Schizosaccharomyces pombe: one gene and its partners. Changing the gene in region 1 together with any one later gene gives a genetic interaction. Each region holds a gene or a part of one and is shown in the gene's direction. Other genes may lie near its edges. The genes, in order: cdc37, mpc1, fil1 and aga1.

Region 1 (4,603 bases):
TTTGGCAGCATCTTCGATTTCCTCTTGAGATGCGTTAGATTTACCGTAAGCAATATTTTCGCCAATTGTACCAGAAAATAAAACCGGTTCTTGTCCAACTAAACCAAAATGACTGCGCCATTGATGAACATTATATGTAGAGATGTCAACTCCGTCAGCTAATATTTTCCCACTACTAGGTGCGTAAAAGCGCAAAAGGAGCTGTGAGATGGTGGATTTTCCACCGCCACTAGGTGCGACTATAGCAACATTGGTGCCTGGATGAATGTCGAAAGATAAGTTATCAAATATTGAAGCTGAAGGACGAGTTGGGTATGCAAACCCAACATTTCTGAACGAAAGTATTGCCTTTCCGACTGTGACTGGAACGGGAATCCCAACGGTTGGAGCTATCTTCGGTTTAGCATCTAAAAGTTCAAATAACCGACTAGCAGCTCCCAGACCTTTCATAATATCAGTAAAACATCCTGATAAGCCAACAATGCTTCCACCGGCATAAACGGTATACAGCAAAAATGAACTTAGCTGTCCTACAGTTATATCACCTGCAGCAACCATTCTTCCGCCTAACGCAAGAATAGCGATTACAGTTGCGTTCCCAAGGAACCCTGTTGACCCGAAGAAAATACCGCTAGCAAAAGCCTCTCGCTTTGCCAGGACAAAGAGATTTCGAATGTAATCGTTGTAACGATTTACTTCTTGTCTTTCTCCTAGAAAAGCCTGTGTAGTCCGAACATTTGCGAGTTTCTCTTCTGAAACCCTTGTTAAATCACCGAGAGCATCTTGTGTAGTCCTGGAAAGTTTCCGAACATACTCTCCATAAAAGAAAGCTCCCAATGCAATTGGGGGTACAATTAGGGACATATATCCAGTGAGTCTCATGGATACGTAGAGCATCATCCCTATTCCAGCAATTGCACTAACTGAGCTACGAAGACCATCACTTAAGTACATTGATAAAGACTTACCGACAATACTCGAATCCGTCGTAAGACGGGATATGAGATCCCCATGTTTATGAAAGTCAAAAAATGCTCCATCTAATGACATGCATTTAGCAAACAAGCGTGCTCGAAGACGACTGACAATTCTTTCACTCAGTAGACGCAAGGTGATGATTCTACCAAAGTTACAAGCTGAACCAAGGAAAAATAAACCCAACAAACCAATATAAAACGTACCAGAAGGAATTCCCATGATATGCGTGACAGAAGAATCGCCTGACGAGCCAGCGTCTAAGATTTTGCCAACAATGTAGGGAATGGACATTGTAACGCCGGAGGAAACTAAGAGAAGAGATCCAGCAATAAAAAAATTCCATCCCTGACCCCTTGCTAGTGTGAAGAGACGAAAAACATTGACTTTCTTGTTTGGTGTTTGTAATGTACCATTTGTATTTATTTTTGAGATATCCTGTGCTTGCTCATCTTTTGATGGAACTGTAGAATTATGTCGCACACACAACTTTAAAAAAGCAAGTGATCGTATAGGAAGAATAGATCTAGAAAAAGGTAACGGAAAACTATTTTTAAAAGGATATATCTTAGAACCACTTGAGGCCTTTTGAGATAACGAGTTTAGGCTCACATTAACCTGTGAAGATAACTTACTGGTACTATAATATTCTGCATTTGGCGTGGGAAGTAATAGAGTATTCGTACTTTTGTAAGCCACGTTGTTTTTCAACCAAGTCAACGGTACTAAATAGTTTGCTCGAAATATTACGCGTTTATTGTAGCAGTGAGCGAATGGTACTCTCGAAAGTCCAAAACGTATTGGATCCATCCATGAATGTGCCTTTCAAAGGAAATGAACGGAATCTTTTCGAAACGGGGTTTACACAGGCTTTTGGCAACAAAAGGTGCGCAAAGTATGTACAAATAAATTATTTAATATATACTTTTTATTAGTATTCGTTCTATCAAATTTTCTCTTCTCTACGGTATTAGTAGTTTCGATAGAATTTCCACGAAGTACTCTACATTCGCATAAGGTAGGTGCTTTGGTACATACTAAGATTTCATTTACCTTAACACAACCACTTCTCTACAACAAGTCAAATCGACGAGAATAGCAAAGACATTTGTGTCTTTTACTTTTTTTAAATTTCTTGAAATTATAATTTGCTTCGAGATGGCAATTGATTACAGCAAGTGGTAAGTTTATTGATAAGTTTGTTTTTAAGTAGGCGAATATGAAGTTAACAGAATTGACAGGGATAAGCTAGAACTTAGTGATGACAGGTATGAAATATACGGTTTGGAGAGGAAATCGGCTCTGTAAGGACAATGGTTAAATACTCTACATGATGCCTTTGATTGGAGTACAATAAAAGAAGTCGAAATGAAATTTCATTAGTAGGATGGAATAAATTCAAAAATAAAATTCAGACTCATCTTTTTATCATTTTGAAGGACATGTTGGGTTCAAAAAGGCAATCATTAATTTGCAGTTTGTATATTTGATGCCAATTGGGTTCTTTTAGCTAATAAACAACCATTGTCAAAACATTCCTTTCTTTTCCTTCTTCATTTATTTTTCGTTTTGATAAATTCATGCTAACAACATTTAGTGACATTGAAGGTTTGTTACGGGTTGTATTCATATTAAATTAACCACATGCAGTTCATCCAAATGTCGATAAAAAGTCTTTTATTAGATGGCGCCAACGTGATATCCACGAAAAACGGGCTGTTAGAAAGCAAAAAATGGAAGATATCAAAGGTGCAATGGCGATGAATCGTAGACTCTTGTCTCGCATCTCCGAAATGGAGACTGTTCTTGAGAAGGAATCTCCTTCGGATCCTTATGTTTTATTGGGTTCATTTTTAGAGGCAAAAAAGTCTGAAGATATGGATAGTGCCATTCCTGGAGGCATGTCGTATCATCATATGCTTATGTCTTTATTAAAAGTAATTAAAGATGCCGAAGACACTACCGAAGAAAAATCTATGGATGATTCGGATAAATGCTTGAGACGATTAAAGTCACACAAAGAGCGTCTTCTGAAGTTGCTAGAAGATGCACAAAAGGAGTATGATACTTTAGAGGCTGAGAGTAAAAATTACATCACTTCTGAAGACTTGCATTTGGGCTTTGATTCCACCTATGTTCAGAAAAAGGAGCCTGAAAAACCTAAAAAGACTAAAACCAAAAAGGAGACCATCCAGGTCATTGAATCTCTTAATAACCCTACACCTCCTACTGATTTTCCCGGCGCTAAAGAGCAAGCTTCTACTGGTAATGCCCCTAAAAATCCTGTCAATGAGAATGAGTCGGAAGATGAAGAAGGGTTGTCTCTTTCTGAAGATGGTAAGAAGTTTGCCAATATTGATTTTGGTGATTATTCTTCATCGGAAGAGTTTTTGAAAGAACATTTAAATATCTTGGCAGATGAGGAAGAATCTGATGCTATTCTTTTGGAAGCCTTTAATGCTGAACTAGAAGGGAAGCCGTCCTTAGCAAAACAATATGTTCATCAAGCCCTTTTGATCAGCTATTGCAGACAGCTTGGACCAAATGGTTTATCAATATTTTTTCAAAAAATTAAAGACCCAAATCACCAATCTCAGCGGCTATTTTTAGAGGATGTTCATAATACATATGTCCGAATCCATGAACGTTCTGCTGCCATCAGCAAAGAACAAGCTGAAAGCGGTGAAGGAGTAGAACAAATCCAGCTCTGTGCAGTTGATCCTAATACGAAACTTTCCATCACCATCCCGGAGGCAGGTTCTACTGATCCAGAGACACAAAAAGCTCGTGCAGCTTTTGAGTCTTTTCCTCCTAACCTCCAAAAAGCTCTTATGACCAATGATTTAGACAAGATTAATGTAGTTCTTGGAAAAATGGCAGTTGAAAATGCAGAAGAAGTTGTGGAAAAGCTCAGCAGTACTGGTATGTTGAGTATCGAAGAAGGAATCATCGACACAACGAAAGGTGAGACTATTCCTCAATTGTCTTAAATTTTTCTGCTTACGGGTGTGCTTTTAGTAAGCGAAAACACCAAAGTTACATGTTTGCCGTTGGCATTTTTAAATGGATAAACAACAATGAAATTTTATTTATTGATTTACCATACCTTGTGTGTACCGTATAATAAAATAAGTATTTAAACAATTTGTACATTTGCCATCAAAGCAACGTGGTCGCTGGGATATCTTCCTTCTAAAGGCTCCGCTTCCTTCATCTCACTGGGTAAAGGCACACGTAACAGTGCCTTTAATTTTATACCTTCAACGACTTGATTTTCGGGAGTTTGAAGTGAGGTATCACGATTCATAACAAATATGTAGTCCAAATGGCCCTGGTAAGCATGAGCCCAATTGGTAAATGCTGGATGATCAAACGTATTTTTTGCATTTTCTGGGTGAACCAGTTTATAGCCCACTGAATAAAGACTGAAAAGTACGGGATTTTGCTCGTGCTGCTGATAAAAAGAACGGTAGTGAGGTACATAGTCATTTTGTACATGCAAAATTCTCTTTTTTGGGGTAGAAGCTGTGGATTCGGGAACACTTGAGGTAGAAGAGGATTGACATTCTTCTTTGTCATCTTCATTGGAATCATTTTCTGTCTTAGTACTAGCATTTTTTTCTTCCAA
Region 2 (3,621 bases), on another chromosome or scaffold:
TTCAAGGGATGCCTGGTATAGGGCTTCTTCACGGAATTCTCGAAGCTTAGAAAGTTTATAATGGGCGCGTAACAAATTTGGCATATCAGAGTCAAGTTCTAAATCTTCACGCAACATGTCTTCTATTACATCTGTCTCCTTGACTAAATTATTTAACTGCGATATCATTTGTTTTGTTGCATAACAATTTTTGTATATCCGAGACATGCGACTGATTAACGGAAATTCATCGACCATCTCGCGTGCACTCTCACATAAAGTCAACATCTAAAAAAAAATCAACATTAGTAAAAAAGTCTTTTAGAAAATGTCAAGAAAGCTTAAGCTTCGACTTTACTCACGTTATGCAATTCCTGAAGAAGCTTCACTCTTTTCGTTTGAGCATCATGCAGTGCCAATTTCCCCAACTAAAGACGTAAGTTAGATCAATTACAATTATCGCATTAATTTAATATTTGTGCTAACCTCAACGGCTTCCACGTGCTTTTCGAGCTCCGTTTTCACATGCATATTAAGAGACGCTTGCTCGCGTTCAAATCGCTCAATATGAGTAGATAATCGATGAAAATCCTAAAATCATCAATTGTTAGCTTTCGATCTTAATTCCAAGCATCCTAACAAGGACCACTTACCTCACATTGTCTAAGAATATCCGCTACCCTGACAAAGTTAGAGTAATCGTTTCATAAATGGTATTTTGATAAATAATCCTTACTTGTTATAGACAGCATCATCCGATGCGGCAGCGGTCATTTTCTTAAAGTTATAAGCAGACCTAGTGCTTACAAACGTTTCTATTTACTGACAGATTGATTAATATATTTACGGACTGGTTGTAAAGGCAGGCAGCTTTAAAGCATTGCAATTCATTTCCGTAAAACAAATAATTCTCTCGTCAAACTTCCTTAACTAATTTAAGAAGTTTGTACAGCATAAATTTTAATATCAAATTCACACTCGTAATAAGGTGTAAGGAAAATATTCGCATTGCTCTATTTTTATAATATTTAAATGATAGATTGATAGAATAGTATAGATCTGAGCAAGGGTTTAAATGAGTATTTAGCCAAATTTTTTGTTTTTGTTATCCAAAAATAGTTAGCATACCTTTTTACAAAAATTTAAATAATTGGTCCTGTTCGAATTTACCTATAGTGTTCAAATCGTCTACGAGGCTCATTTAAGTAATAATATATACTTTGTCTCGAAATCATCCTTCTTCCCTATAATCCCAGAAATCAGTATACTTCTTAATTGACAAAAAATCAACAGGAATTTCTTTTCTTTTAACATCCAATTAATAAAGCTCATAATGTGAATTAATGGATTACGTAAAGCTTCGGTATCTGATTTCTTCAAAAAGTGAGATTTTTTCCTGATAAAGTAAAAAATATATATATAATAGATTATTTGTTATATAATCTTCCAATATTCATCAACTGATTGAGGTATAAACATTAAGAGACTGTAGCTAATCTCCGATTTTTCTGCTCCACTAATAGGATAATAAGCTAGTAATTTGAAGCCTTTGGCAAGCCAACCACAGCCTATATTATTTTTTTAAAAATGTATGTCACTAAAAAAAACAGTTTTAACATTTTTTTGTAGGAATGCATCAGAAAAGTTGAGCCAAAAGGCTGCTCAGTCGGTCACAAGAAGGTTTATTACCTGGTTGAAAAGCCCTGATTTCAGAAAATATTTATGTAGTACTCAGTAAGTAGATGGAAAGGTTTAAAGATTGCTATCTCTCGTTTTTTTTATATTATTTATGGTTTAAAAGATTTCTTTGCTAATAAGATAGCTTCTGGGGTCCGTTGTCGAATTTTGGAATTCCTATTGCTGCTATTTTGGATTTGAAAAAGGATCCCAGGCTTATTTCTGGGCGCATGACAGGTGGTATGTGTTAAAAAATAGTCATATCAATAACTTGGCCATGACAATGCGGTTTTGGGGAAGCTCTTTTAGAGATTGGAGTTAGTTTCCTTTTTTCCGCTGATCGTGGTTATCTCTGTTGTCAATGCAGTTATCGAGATGACTTTCTGTATCGTTTAAAAGTTGCTTTTTTGTTAATCTCCTTAGCACTTATTCTCTATTCCAGCGTCTTTATGCGTTATGCCTGGGTATGTTTTGAATCATCTTACTCCTTTCTCCAATATTTGATAGAACTTTTACTAACTAGCGTTTAGATGGTAAGCCCACGTAACTATTTATTACTCGGATGCCATGCCTTTAATACCACTGTTCAAACGGCACAAGGAATTCGTTTCGTCAACTTTTGGTAGTATGTGTATTGAGACTTTGTTATTCTATTGTTTACTAACGACTTATTTAATTAGTGGCAAAGAAGGTGCTTCTAAACAATCTGTTTTCGAGAACATCATGCAAGCAGCCAAACATCCTGAAAGTGGCACTCGTCAAAAGTGAAAAGGGTCAAGTATTTATTCTTTAAAATACGAGTGAACGGATAAGTCACTTGCTCTAACAAAATTGATTCGAAGGAAGGGTATAAATAAGCAAACCTGAGAAATATGTGTTATCGGTTTATTACTTGCTCTAATATAGGAAAAATTCATTTTTCCTATTTAGTTTAGGATTTGCAAATTTTGAAGTCCGTCATTATTTTGTTAATGTACATTCTTTTTTCTTTTTACAAAATGTCTTTTTCTATTTTACTGGTCCGAGACGTCGTATCCTTGTTTTTTGTGGAAGCACAACTAAATTGTTTTGATAATATCAACAATATGTTTTCAGGCAAAAGTTGTCACGTGGAACGATATTTTTATGATTGTGGCTTCTAGTATTCTGTACTTCTTAATACAAAATATTAACACTATTATATGGTAGCACCATGGCGTACTAGTTTTCTGATTTGTCGGTTACTGAATATTTATTGAATATATTGATAACGGTAAAGTCACTTTTTAAAAGAGCAAGTTCAGTTACACAATCTAGCTTTTACTAGGAAAAGTAGTTTCAATTACTTTTTTAATTAATTTTGTGTAATATTCCGATATATTAGATGTTAGGCTTAAAAGAAATCGAAAATACTAACAATTAGGGAGGTCATTAGTGAAAAAGAAAATTAAACAAAATATAAACGATCAACGGTAATACGTGATCACAAAATTGAAGGTCAAAGCATTTCATCACCAAAATTTTTAAAGTTAGGTGAACATGATCGGGAAGTTCAGAATAGCTTTCACATATTTTACACCAGAACGCCAAATGCTTGTAATTCTATTTTTATTTTATCAAAAAATGCTTCATTGACAGAGTTTGTAGACACCGTATCTGAGTATTTACGGATGGCTGTTTGTAAATCCGTAAGCAAGAATTCCAAACGTAGCAACAATAATGAAGGATCCTCTGATGATTCTTCATTGATATTTTTCCAAATTTTTTCAAGATGAGAGATGTGCTCCTTATGCACGATTTGTTGATCAATGCCGTTATCTTTTGTGTTGTTTAAGAGCTCTTTTAAAATGTTGAAATTTTTCTCAAAGTCTGCACAAACAATTTTGTCATTATCCATTGGATCTATAGAAGACCAATCGGTCTGAATTTTATTCTGATTAAACATACACAAGGAAGTTAAATCGGTTTGCTTATATAACGAATTTG
Region 3 (5,473 bases), on another chromosome or scaffold:
CAAAACTTTTTTTTGTTTTCTATCTCTCCAACGATTCCAATCTCGAATCCTTACGCTTTCTTGAATGACTCCAATCTTTCAAATACTTTATCTGGTCGGGTTGTTTTATAACTGTTGAACGAATTGATGAACGATTATTTCTTTTATTTCTCTTTCATCTTCTCACCCAAGCCTATCACATTAGCGGGATTGCTGAAAAATCATGTGTTTACACTTCCACGTGCTAATTTCCTTTCATCCCAGCCCATTCCATTTATTCCACTACAAACCTTGACCATGTAAACATTGAGAAACGATTGGGTTGAAGGACAATTGGGTTCTGTTTGTATCAACAACAACAGTTTTTCCTCTAGTAACCAACGACCAACAAAATGCCTGAACATAGAACCGGTGTGAATAAGCAAAGTTGGCGAAATGAACAAAACAACGTTGCGCAAACCAATAATTGCACTTTGCTACTGTCAAGTGATGCGCAACATTCATTTACTCATCAACATCGTTATGATAAGTGTATTGCACTTTTATCAAACAAGTTTTGCAATTTAGTATGCGCATTTCAGAGAAAATTCATGCTATAGCAAACTCATGTTGAATAACAAAAATACGCACAAAGCAAGGCCCATTACTTTCTTGTAACACTCTATTTTTGGGGCCTTTACAACCCGAGAAATAGGATCAATCGATCATCCTTCACTAGCCTTGTCACTTGCCTTCCGTGTGTAATACCAACGGAACTCATTCTCCGGTAGGAATGTACTTCTGCTGCCTTCATAGTCGCTACTGCGCAGACCGAAAAAATCCGAAAATTCTTTAAATAGCGAGAGCGAGTGTATTTGCGGAAATAAGCTTAACAATTGATGATGGAACACGGAAACTAAGCTTAAACGAATACAGTCACTATCGTTATAGCGGGTCAGAAAGGTTGCAGGCAGAGAAAGTAAATGCGTTAGACTGAGTATAGAAAAGTATAGTAGACAAGGCATTTTGGACAGGCAAGGCATGTCGGACACATGTGTAATAATAAGGCATAAACAGTTTTAATTTTTAAGAGTAGAATTTATTACAAAAGGACTTTTAAGTAATTTTCTTTTTAACCAACAATAGGACTCGACATTTACAGTTAATCGAGTTTTTGTTGTGAAAAATTCCAAATCCTACTTTTTAATTACATCTTCTTTTATATTCATATTCATATTCATATTCACATCCACATTCCACTCATACATTCACATCATAACATTCATTTTATTATTTCTATAAACAATCGGTTCAAAAAGAACCATTCCTATTGTTTAACGCTTCTTTCTTTCGCTGTGTTCCTTCTTTCCCTTCTATGATCATGTAGTTTTCTCCTCAATTGATTCTAAATTGACTGAGAAATACACAACTATTTTATTATCAAGTTCAAATTGTTAATTCGCTTTTCTCCTACCTACTTACTTAGTTACCTCGTGTCTATTTGTCTCTATAGTAACCCTTTCGCCCCCATTTTATATATACACCCCCACACTTCCTATATAGCGATATCGGCGCTACTCACTTCCACAGCCGGTTGATTTTACTGCATTCCATTCTCTTTCGCTATATACTTTAATGCACTTGAACGATGGTTCATTGCGTGCTGGCCTGGGTGTTGCTTTCAAGTCTTTGCAATCTTTGATTGGCTATCTAATGTTTTTCCCACCACTTACAAAGCGACTTAGATGCGATAAGCTTTGGGGCCGATGTCACCCCGATCGTTCGATAAGCCCTCTGATAAGGCGCTGTCCCTACTATTATGCCTCCTCTCTCTACCAATCAAAAGTTGCCGTACCTGTCCATAATAGCTGCATGAATGTTGACTACGTAGTGGCTTTCTTGTCACGTTCTTCCTATTTAAGAGCTCGTTGCGCCGCCGGTTTTTTTCTTTTCCTTTTTTATTTTACCACTACACCAAACTTACTAACAACCAACAACACCACAACTACCACACAATTTTACTAGTACAGCGTTAACATCCTGATCTCGTAAATCGTCTATTACATTTATTTTAAGCTTTTAAATCTCTATTTTTTTGTCTTCTACTCCATTTAGTGTTGACATATTTTTTTTTACATACCTCAGTTTTCTAGTTACTTTTCAGATTTAATTTTTCCCAAGATGTGTTAAATTATCTATAAAGTCCTCGTTTTTTTAAGTTGATTTTACTTCCTTGTTGAAATCGAATATACTGGTTGTTTTTGTTGTTTCGGATCTTTTGTTTCCACCCCCAATATTACGTTTACAAAGCATGCTTCGTTCGTCCTCGTGTCGTCGTTAAGTCTTTTTCTCCTAAATCATTCAAAATGTTGTCTCATTGAGAATTTATCGTAGGTTGTTTTTCACCTCATTTTTTTTATCTTCTTAATTTTGCTTTAGGTTTTCTATCCCTCTACCAAAATTTTTCTCCTATCTCTTTGTTTATCGAATATCTTTTTAGTATTTTTCGGTTAATCTTTTCTACTATTGTGGTTGATTAAATAATTTTCTCTCTTATTTTAATCGTCTTCCTTTTATCTCTTTTTTATAATTCTCCAATATGATGTAACTCGCAAGTTAATTTCGTTGGAATAATCCTTTATTATTTACTCATTTCGGTCAAATATCTTTCTTTTCCTCTGGTTGTAACATTTAGAGTCTTTAGAATCTCTACATCGTTTGGTCGGGTCTATTGTTTTTTTTAACTATCCCCAAAGTGCATTATGCTTCTTATTTTTTTACAAAGTCAACATTAAACATTTATTACTTTTTGTCTGTGTGTGACTAACATATTACTCGCGTGTGATTGAATTCGGTATTATAATTTCGTTTCTCTCCCTTGTTTTTCTATTTTTTTTTATAATTATCTTTGTGTCTGTGTGTTTATAGCAAATCCAATTATTTTGTTATCATGAATTACAACGATACTACTGAATTTTGTTTCCCCTTTGGTCAGCCCTCTTTCCCTACTTCGGCTATGACTGAAGGGTCGTTTGACGGTCAATTTTCCGAATTTGACCCTACTTTCACTTCCCCCGCTGATACAGCATTATCCGATATCGCAAATCTTCCCATTGATCTTCATAAGGATGCCCTTTTCGCCAATGCGCCAGGCAAGGGAGATGTTGATTTTGATTCGGTTTCAATGTTGCAACTGCTTTCTGATTATCCCTTGGCTTTTAACTCTACGGAGAATAATCAGAAATTGCAAACCAACCCCTCTGCTCGTTGGTCTCTTCTTGACAGCATGGATTTCGACAATCAAAGGCAATGTTCTGATTTAGAGTCTGCGCAACTCGGTGATTCCGGATTGCTAAAGTCTACCATACTGTCGAACTCTCATATTGACATTGCTGCCTTGTCTTCCAGTAAGACGTCAGAACCCACACCCCCTTTCTCTTATGTACAGACTCCCTGCATCCCAACGCCAAGCTCGGCATTAATCGATACACCATTCCCTGGTGCTCTTGATTCCGAGTTTGGTTTCGATGAAAGTCAAGCCCCTCTTTTCCCTGCCTCTGATGGTGATTGTCAGCGTGCGTTTGCTTCCATATCTTATCCCACCAACTATGGATGCAAGCTAAGCAATCTGGGCTTCATGTCACCTCAGTCGCCTGTTAAAAGGGAGCTGAACGATTCCACGTCTCCCTCGAAGCTCTCCGAATCGAGCTCATCCTTGACTGGTTCGTCTTCTGCTTTGCTATCCCAATCTGAGTTCTTGGGCTCAGTTCCTAGCTTGTCCGATTCGATCGCTACCGTTGATCCATTCTTTTCGTTTGAAAGCTTTGAAACAGATGAAAAGGCTCGTTCATTACTCATGGATGCTTCACTTAAGTTGCCCCAATTTTCCACTCCTAATCTGTCCTCTAACTCTTCTTCTCTCAGTCTGAAGTCGACGTTAGCAGAGGGAATGAAAGGCTCTACACCCCTTGCTGCCGTTAAAACTGAAAAGGCTAGTAAGGCAGCACGTGTAATGAAACAAAAGAAACATCGCGAACATGTCTGTTTTAACTGTGGAGTCACTGAAACGCCTTTATGGAGACGTACATCAGATAAGCTTAACTTCTTGTGCAATGCTTGTGGTCTTTACAACAAACAGTATGGTGTTATGAGACCATTGTCTCCTAGAAACAAAGGCTCATCTAAGGCACTTGAGAATTTGGTGTGTGCCAATTGCTCTTCTACGAAAACTTCGTTGTGGCGCAAAGATCGTCACGGACAGACTGTTTGTAACGCTTGTGGTTTGTATGCCCGTCTTCATGGCCACAATCGTCCTATTGGTTTGAAGAAGAACAAAATTACCCGACGTCGTCGTGGTAAGGGCCCTGGTGGAGAAGATGGAATGTCTGACGAGGTAAAATCAGAATTCCCCGTACTCTCAAAATCCGTCACGATGGCCGAGATACTCTCTTCAAAGGGTCTTGAATCACCTCAGCTTACCAACTCTGTTTCTGTTTCGAAAATGCCGAATACCGATGCTGATGTTTCGTTGGAGCATGCAAAAATCTCTTTTGATTCGTTGGACAACTCGGTTATTGTCAAGAAGGAGGAAGAAATAGAGAATAAATTTTCGGTCTCTTGTTGAAAGACATTACTAAGAGTCTATTGATTTTTTTTTCACCTTGGTTTTTATAAACTCTTTTATTTTCTACTCTAGCTTTTGTTTATGTTTTTATTACAGCTTGCAAGTTTCAATCGTTTTGAAGACTACGCTTCGTACTGAAAGATTACTTTTGTAGCTAAAACCTATACATTTGAATACACATTTGGGATATACTTTTGATTAGATATGGCATAAAGGGTTGATGTGTGGGTTTATTGGAATTTTTTATTTTTTCATTTTTCTTGTTCTTTTTTTTTGTATCTTGCTTTTGCAACTATAAACAAAAATTTCACTTGATATTTTATTTCTAGTCTTACTGATTGAAATTAAATTGACTGATCAATTTTTAAGTGCTCTTTACATTTTAATGTTGTTGCTGTAGCTTGTAGTTTTTTTTAGTCTTGAAGTTAAGTTGTGCAAATGTTAGTTAGCGAATACGCAGTTTGTTTTAAAAGTAGATACCCGCTAAGGAGTGTGTAACAACTCAACTGCCGAATGAACTAGCCCTGAAAATGGATGGCGCTTAAGCGTACTACCCATACCTCACCGTCTGGGTTAGCTTTGAGAAGCTCAGACGAGTAGGCAGGCGTGGAGCATTTTTTTGTATGTAAGAGGCAAAGAAACTTTGTTGAAACAAGTAACGTATTAATACTCTTTGAATTAGTTTGGCTTTATTCAAAAATAGCGGTGAATTAAATAACAATAAATTATTGATGTATTGAATTTAATTAAGCACTGATAAAATGTTATAAAAGCGTGTTTGTCAATTGTTACCGATTCAGTACAGTGTAAGGACAATATAGGCATATTTGCCATTAGCCTTGCTTTTTAGCTTTACACAACGAAAATAATATAAATATTAAAACATATGAA
Region 4 (4,264 bases), 1.5 Mb from region 1:
TTATGCTATCAGTCGCTTGCTAATATTTGATTGGCTCTTCTTTCAGTAAACTAACAAAGCATTGGAGCTTTTATAAACTACGTCATTTAAGTAGGCGTGAACTAAATTATTGGACAGAATTGAGTTTCTTTCACTATGCATTGGAAATTCCTATAAATAGTCGATGAAGTCTGCGAAACAAGGGAGGTAAACAGACTTAGTGGGTATTAAAATGTTGGTCAATCTTCTGCCGTCTTGATTTAAAAGCACTTCTCTTTTACTATTGTAAGACGGAATATGCATGCAAGATCGCTTTAGTTGGTTGAATGTCTCTTTCTTTGTGTTGTGGTTTGTTCGTTTTTTTCTAATTTGGAATATTATAAGAAACGTTGTTTTCTTGCAACATTTTGAAATGGTCATTCAAAAAGCTGGATTCGGTACCACTTTTCTTTTTACCTTGTCTTCTAAGCTCTGTTAAATTTCTTGATGGGGTCCAGTTAAACCAACCCCCAAGTTGGTTTATGTGAGCCTTGTCTCTTTTTTGGATGAATAGTAGCTTAGATAGTGATAGTTATTATTATGACTGATGGAATCTACTTAAAAATGGATTCCATTTTTTGTCTACTGTAATTGAATTCTTTTTGGTACACTTTTTGGCTGCATTGTTATCCTTGAAAGCACTTACAATGTTTAAACTTTGCGAATGACTGAAACAGAAAAGAAATAAAACGACTGTACCTGAACTATTGTTGAAACAATATTAAAACGTATTCCTGAAACAGATTAAACTACATTAAATTTTGTTAATGAATTAAACGTGAAACTTGAAAGTTTGATGCGAAACAAAACCCGCAGTTTGTTTAAACGCTTATTTGTGATTAAAATTGATGAACCAGTTTAAACTATGAAAGTGTTTGAAAACGTGCTGAAACCATTCGTTAAACCCTGCAAACCAACATAAAAAAAATTGAAAATAAACAATAACCACAGCAAGCTAATTCAATTCCAACAATGGTATGTTGCATTGGTCTTCGGTTGTGCTGTGCTCCCTCTTTTTTTGAGCATAGTTAAAACCATTAATACTATTTAAACATTTCTCTTTAAAAAAGAGAAGAGAATAGCAACACATAGAATTTCCAAATTCAACATGCCTTCAAATTTGAAATCGCAAGGAACAGCTATTAATGAATGAAACGAGTTAAATTGAAATAAATCAAACACTATAAAGATTATTATTCTATTTCTTGCTTAAAACACACTTTAAGGAATTGAAATTTTTCACGTAAAATGTTGATGAACTGGCTTTAAATTTACATGCAAGTCTTGATTGTGAAATGATGCGTTGGAAGCATGAATTGGTATTTTCTTTTTTAAAAAAAGCAATGAAAAGTTTGAAAAAGGCAATAAAACTTGGAGGTGGTTGGACTTTGCCGATTTCACGAAGTTTTTCTTTGCTGTTTGAAACTCAACCAAATAAATTAAACAGTGGTAGCAGCCCCAATTAAACTGAAAATCTATCAGTTATATGTTCATGAATGTGTAAAAGCAGCAGAACAGACAGATCCCAGCATTTTTCCCTTCTCTTTGCACTACATTATGAGAGGGATAACTGATATTCTGTAATGTAGATCTGAGAAAACGAAGGCAAAGCTAATCCCGAATGTAAGGTTTAGGGAGCTACTTGTTTTCATCCTTTCGAACGTAAGGCTCATAAAGTATCATTAATTAAACGTAAGAATAATAAATTTCAAACAAATTAGTTGTTCGCTATACCTACTTTTGTTGTGCAGCATTCCCATCTTCTTATCAAGTTTCACTTGATAACCGCTTCGAAGATTCAGACTTCATCCTTCTTAAACCACTACCGCCATCGCATATATATATTTATATACAAAGCAAGTTTACATTATTGTAGCTTTTATTAAACTGCTCGTTCAATTCTACTAAAAAAGGGATCCACTGATTTTGTTACAAGACTGACCATTAAATTCATTGCTATGCAAACCAAAATTTTTGCACGTCTTGCTGGCATTGGTCGGGCTCGGTTTGTTGGTACGATGCCCGACAAGACCAAATTCATCAGTAAATCTGGAACGTATCCACAAGGTTTCAGCTTAAATGGTATTGCTTCCGGCGTAAAAGCCAATGGAAAAAAGGATTTAGCCATTTTATTTTCCTCTCGACCATGCAACGCCGCAGCCGTCTTTACTAAGAATGCATTTCAAGCTGCTCCAGTTCAAGTTTCACGCCAAACTCTGAACGGCTGTGGCGGTAAAGATATTCACTGTGTCGTGTTCAATAGCGGTTGCGCTAACGCTGTTACTGGTGAGGGCGGTTTGATGGATGCCCAACTCATTACCGCCGAAGCTGATAATTTGACTCGTCCACATTGGACTTCGTGGACTGAGAATTCAGAGGAATTTCCCTCGTCGTTGGTGATGTCGACTGGTGTTATTGGACAACGTTTGAAGTTAGACAAGATTCAAAGCGGTTTGGAACACGCGGTTGAAGACCTCGGGTCCACTCATGAATACTGGATGAGAGCAGCTGAGGCCATTTGCACTACGGATACTTTCCCTAAACTCGTTTCCCGTGAACTTAGTATTGCAGGCAAAGTCTACAGGATTGCAGGTTTTGCCAAGGGCGCAGGTATGATCAATCCCAACTTGGCCACTCTTTTAGGTTTGTTTGTTACAGATGCCCCAATCTCAGTTGATGCAGTCCGATCTATACTTCGTCATGCAATTAACAACAGTTTCAATTCTATCAGTATTGATGGTGATACGAGTACAAATGATACAATTGCCTTCCTTGCAAATGGAGCTGCTGGTGGATCCGAGATTACCAAGTCTTCCCCTGCATACAAGGAGATTCGTGATGCTGTAACGGATATTGCTCAACAACTTGCAAAGCTGGTTGTCCGTGACGGTGAGGGTGCTACGAAATTCGTTACTGTGCAAGTCAGAGGCGCTAGATCAGAGAAAGACGCTGCGTTGGTGGCATCAACCATTAGTAACTCTGCATTGGTGAAAACGGCATTCTTTGGTGAGGACGCTAACTGGGGTCGTATTTTGTGTGCCGTCGGTTATTCAGGTGCTGCTGTCAATCCTCCTGCTACGACCGTTAGTTTTATTCCTGCAGACGGAACTGAACCATTGAAGCTTTTAGTAAATGGTGAACCACAAAATGTCGATGAGACCCGTGCTAGCGAAATATTATCGCAAGACGAACTCACTGTAGACGTTGATCTTGGATGTGGTCCTTATGCCAAAACAAATTGGACTTGCGATTTTTCGTATGACTATGTTCGTATTAATGCTGATTATCGCAGTTAAAAAAGAACAGTGGTCAGTTACCAAATTAACCAAGAGTGAGCTCTACGCTTTGATACCAAGAAAGCTTCATGTTTTTACAGCTTTAAACTCTTCAATTCAATTTGATGAACATACACGACGTTCGTTTACAATACGTGTCTAACAGAAAAAAAGGATTGCTGAGATGCATTCATTAACAAAAAAGTATGTATAAAAAGCTTTGCTTGCTTATGGTAGAAGTTTGCAATTTTAAGCGAAAGTTCATTATGCATGTAACATCAATCATAGTATATCATAATAACATGAATCTTTTCATTCGATTGCCTGCCTTAATTGAAAGGAGTTCAAGCCAGGATTAAATAAGAAGTGCATGCTAAAAATCAGGAGGTTTGTATTCCTCAACAAATGTTTGTAGCTTATCCCCTGTAACTATTTCGTCAAAATTTTTTAATAATATACCGCATTCCCTGCCTTTTTTAATACTGGTGACTTCTTCTTTTAAGTGTTTTAGACTGTCAATTTCACCAGACCAAATAATTTTGTCATTACGTACTAAACGTATTTTATGGGATTTTTCAATAGTTCCATTAGTAACTCGACAACCAGCGACATGAACAACTGCTCTTTTAGCTTTGATGTCGAAGATTGCACTAATAATAGCTTCTCCGGTAACACGCTGAACCAATATGGGCGGTAATCGCAAAGCAAAAAGTTTCCGTACATCATCCATTAAATGATAAATAACGTTGTGAAACAACAGCTTTACATTGTGTTTTTCTGCTAAACGAAAAGTAGCTTTCGGAACGGAAACACCGAACGATATAATGATGGCATCGGATGTTTCAGCTCTCTCAATATCAGTTTCGGTTACTGGACCCACCCCAGTATACAAGACTCGAGATTTTACCTTTCCAAATTGTAATGGTTTGAGATAATCTGACAGGGCCTCCATGGACCCAGTGTCTTCACAT

Evidence for each region.
Region 2: mutations in cdc37 (region 1) and mpc1 together harm fitness more than expected from each alone (negative genetic interaction), as found in Schizosaccharomyces pombe (one large-scale study listed by BioGRID).
Region 3: mutations in cdc37 (region 1) and fil1 together harm fitness more than expected from each alone (negative genetic interaction), as found in Schizosaccharomyces pombe (one large-scale study listed by BioGRID).
Region 4: mutations in cdc37 (region 1) and aga1 together harm fitness more than expected from each alone (negative genetic interaction), as found in Schizosaccharomyces pombe (one large-scale study listed by BioGRID).

The regions. Positions count from the first base shown.
Region 1 is NC_003423.3:1,829,056-1,833,658, forward strand, and holds cdc37 (Hsp90 co-chaperone Cdc37), read left to right. Parts: upstream 1-2,031; 5' UTR 2,032-2,133; coding exon 2,134-2,156; intron 2,157-2,216; coding exon 2,217-2,243; intron 2,244-2,320; exon of another isoform or gene 2,321-2,572; coding exon 2,573-2,583; exon of another isoform or gene 2,584-2,625; coding exon 2,626-3,965; 3' UTR 3,966-4,075; downstream 4,076-4,603. Other genes in the region: mdl1 (peptide-transporting ATPase), read right to left, coding at 1-1,785; SPOM_SPBC9B6.11C (CCR4/nocturin family endoribonuclease), read right to left, coding at 4,112-4,603. UniProt on the Schizosaccharomyces pombe protein: Co-chaperone that binds to numerous kinases and promotes their interaction with the Hsp90 complex, resulting in stabilization and promotion of their activity.
Region 2 is NC_003421.2:198,564-202,184, forward strand, and holds mpc1 (protein mpc1), read left to right. Parts: upstream 1-1,538; 5' UTR 1,539-1,566; coding exon 1,567-1,568; intron 1,569-1,608; coding exon 1,609-1,713; intron 1,714-1,801; coding exon 1,802-1,896; intron 1,897-2,079; coding exon 2,080-2,120; intron 2,121-2,186; coding exon 2,187-2,281; intron 2,282-2,336; coding exon 2,337-2,424; 3' UTR 2,425-3,062; downstream 3,063-3,621. Other genes in the region: sec6 (exocyst complex subunit Exo3), read right to left, coding at 1-267, 342-407, 466-570, 633-660, 716-753; mug146 (protein mug46), read right to left, coding at 3,209-3,621. UniProt on the Schizosaccharomyces pombe protein: Mediates the uptake of pyruvate into mitochondria.
Region 3 is NC_003421.2:809,747-815,219, forward strand, and holds fil1 (zf-GATA type transcription factor), read left to right. Parts: upstream 1-1,943; 5' UTR 1,944-2,908; coding exon 2,909-4,582; 3' UTR 4,583-4,962; downstream 4,963-5,473. UniProt on the Schizosaccharomyces pombe protein: Activates genes required for amino acid biosynthesis and acts as a master transcriptional regulator during amino acid starvation. Binds variations of the DNA sequence 5'-GAT[AC]GC-3'.
Region 4 is NC_003423.3:335,851-340,114, reverse strand, and holds aga1 (glutamate N-acetyltransferase), read left to right. Parts: upstream 1-1,834; 5' UTR 1,835-1,976; coding exon 1,977-3,314; 3' UTR 3,315-3,666; downstream 3,667-4,264. Other genes in the region: mti2 (translation initiation factor IF-2Mt), read right to left, coding at 3,667-4,264.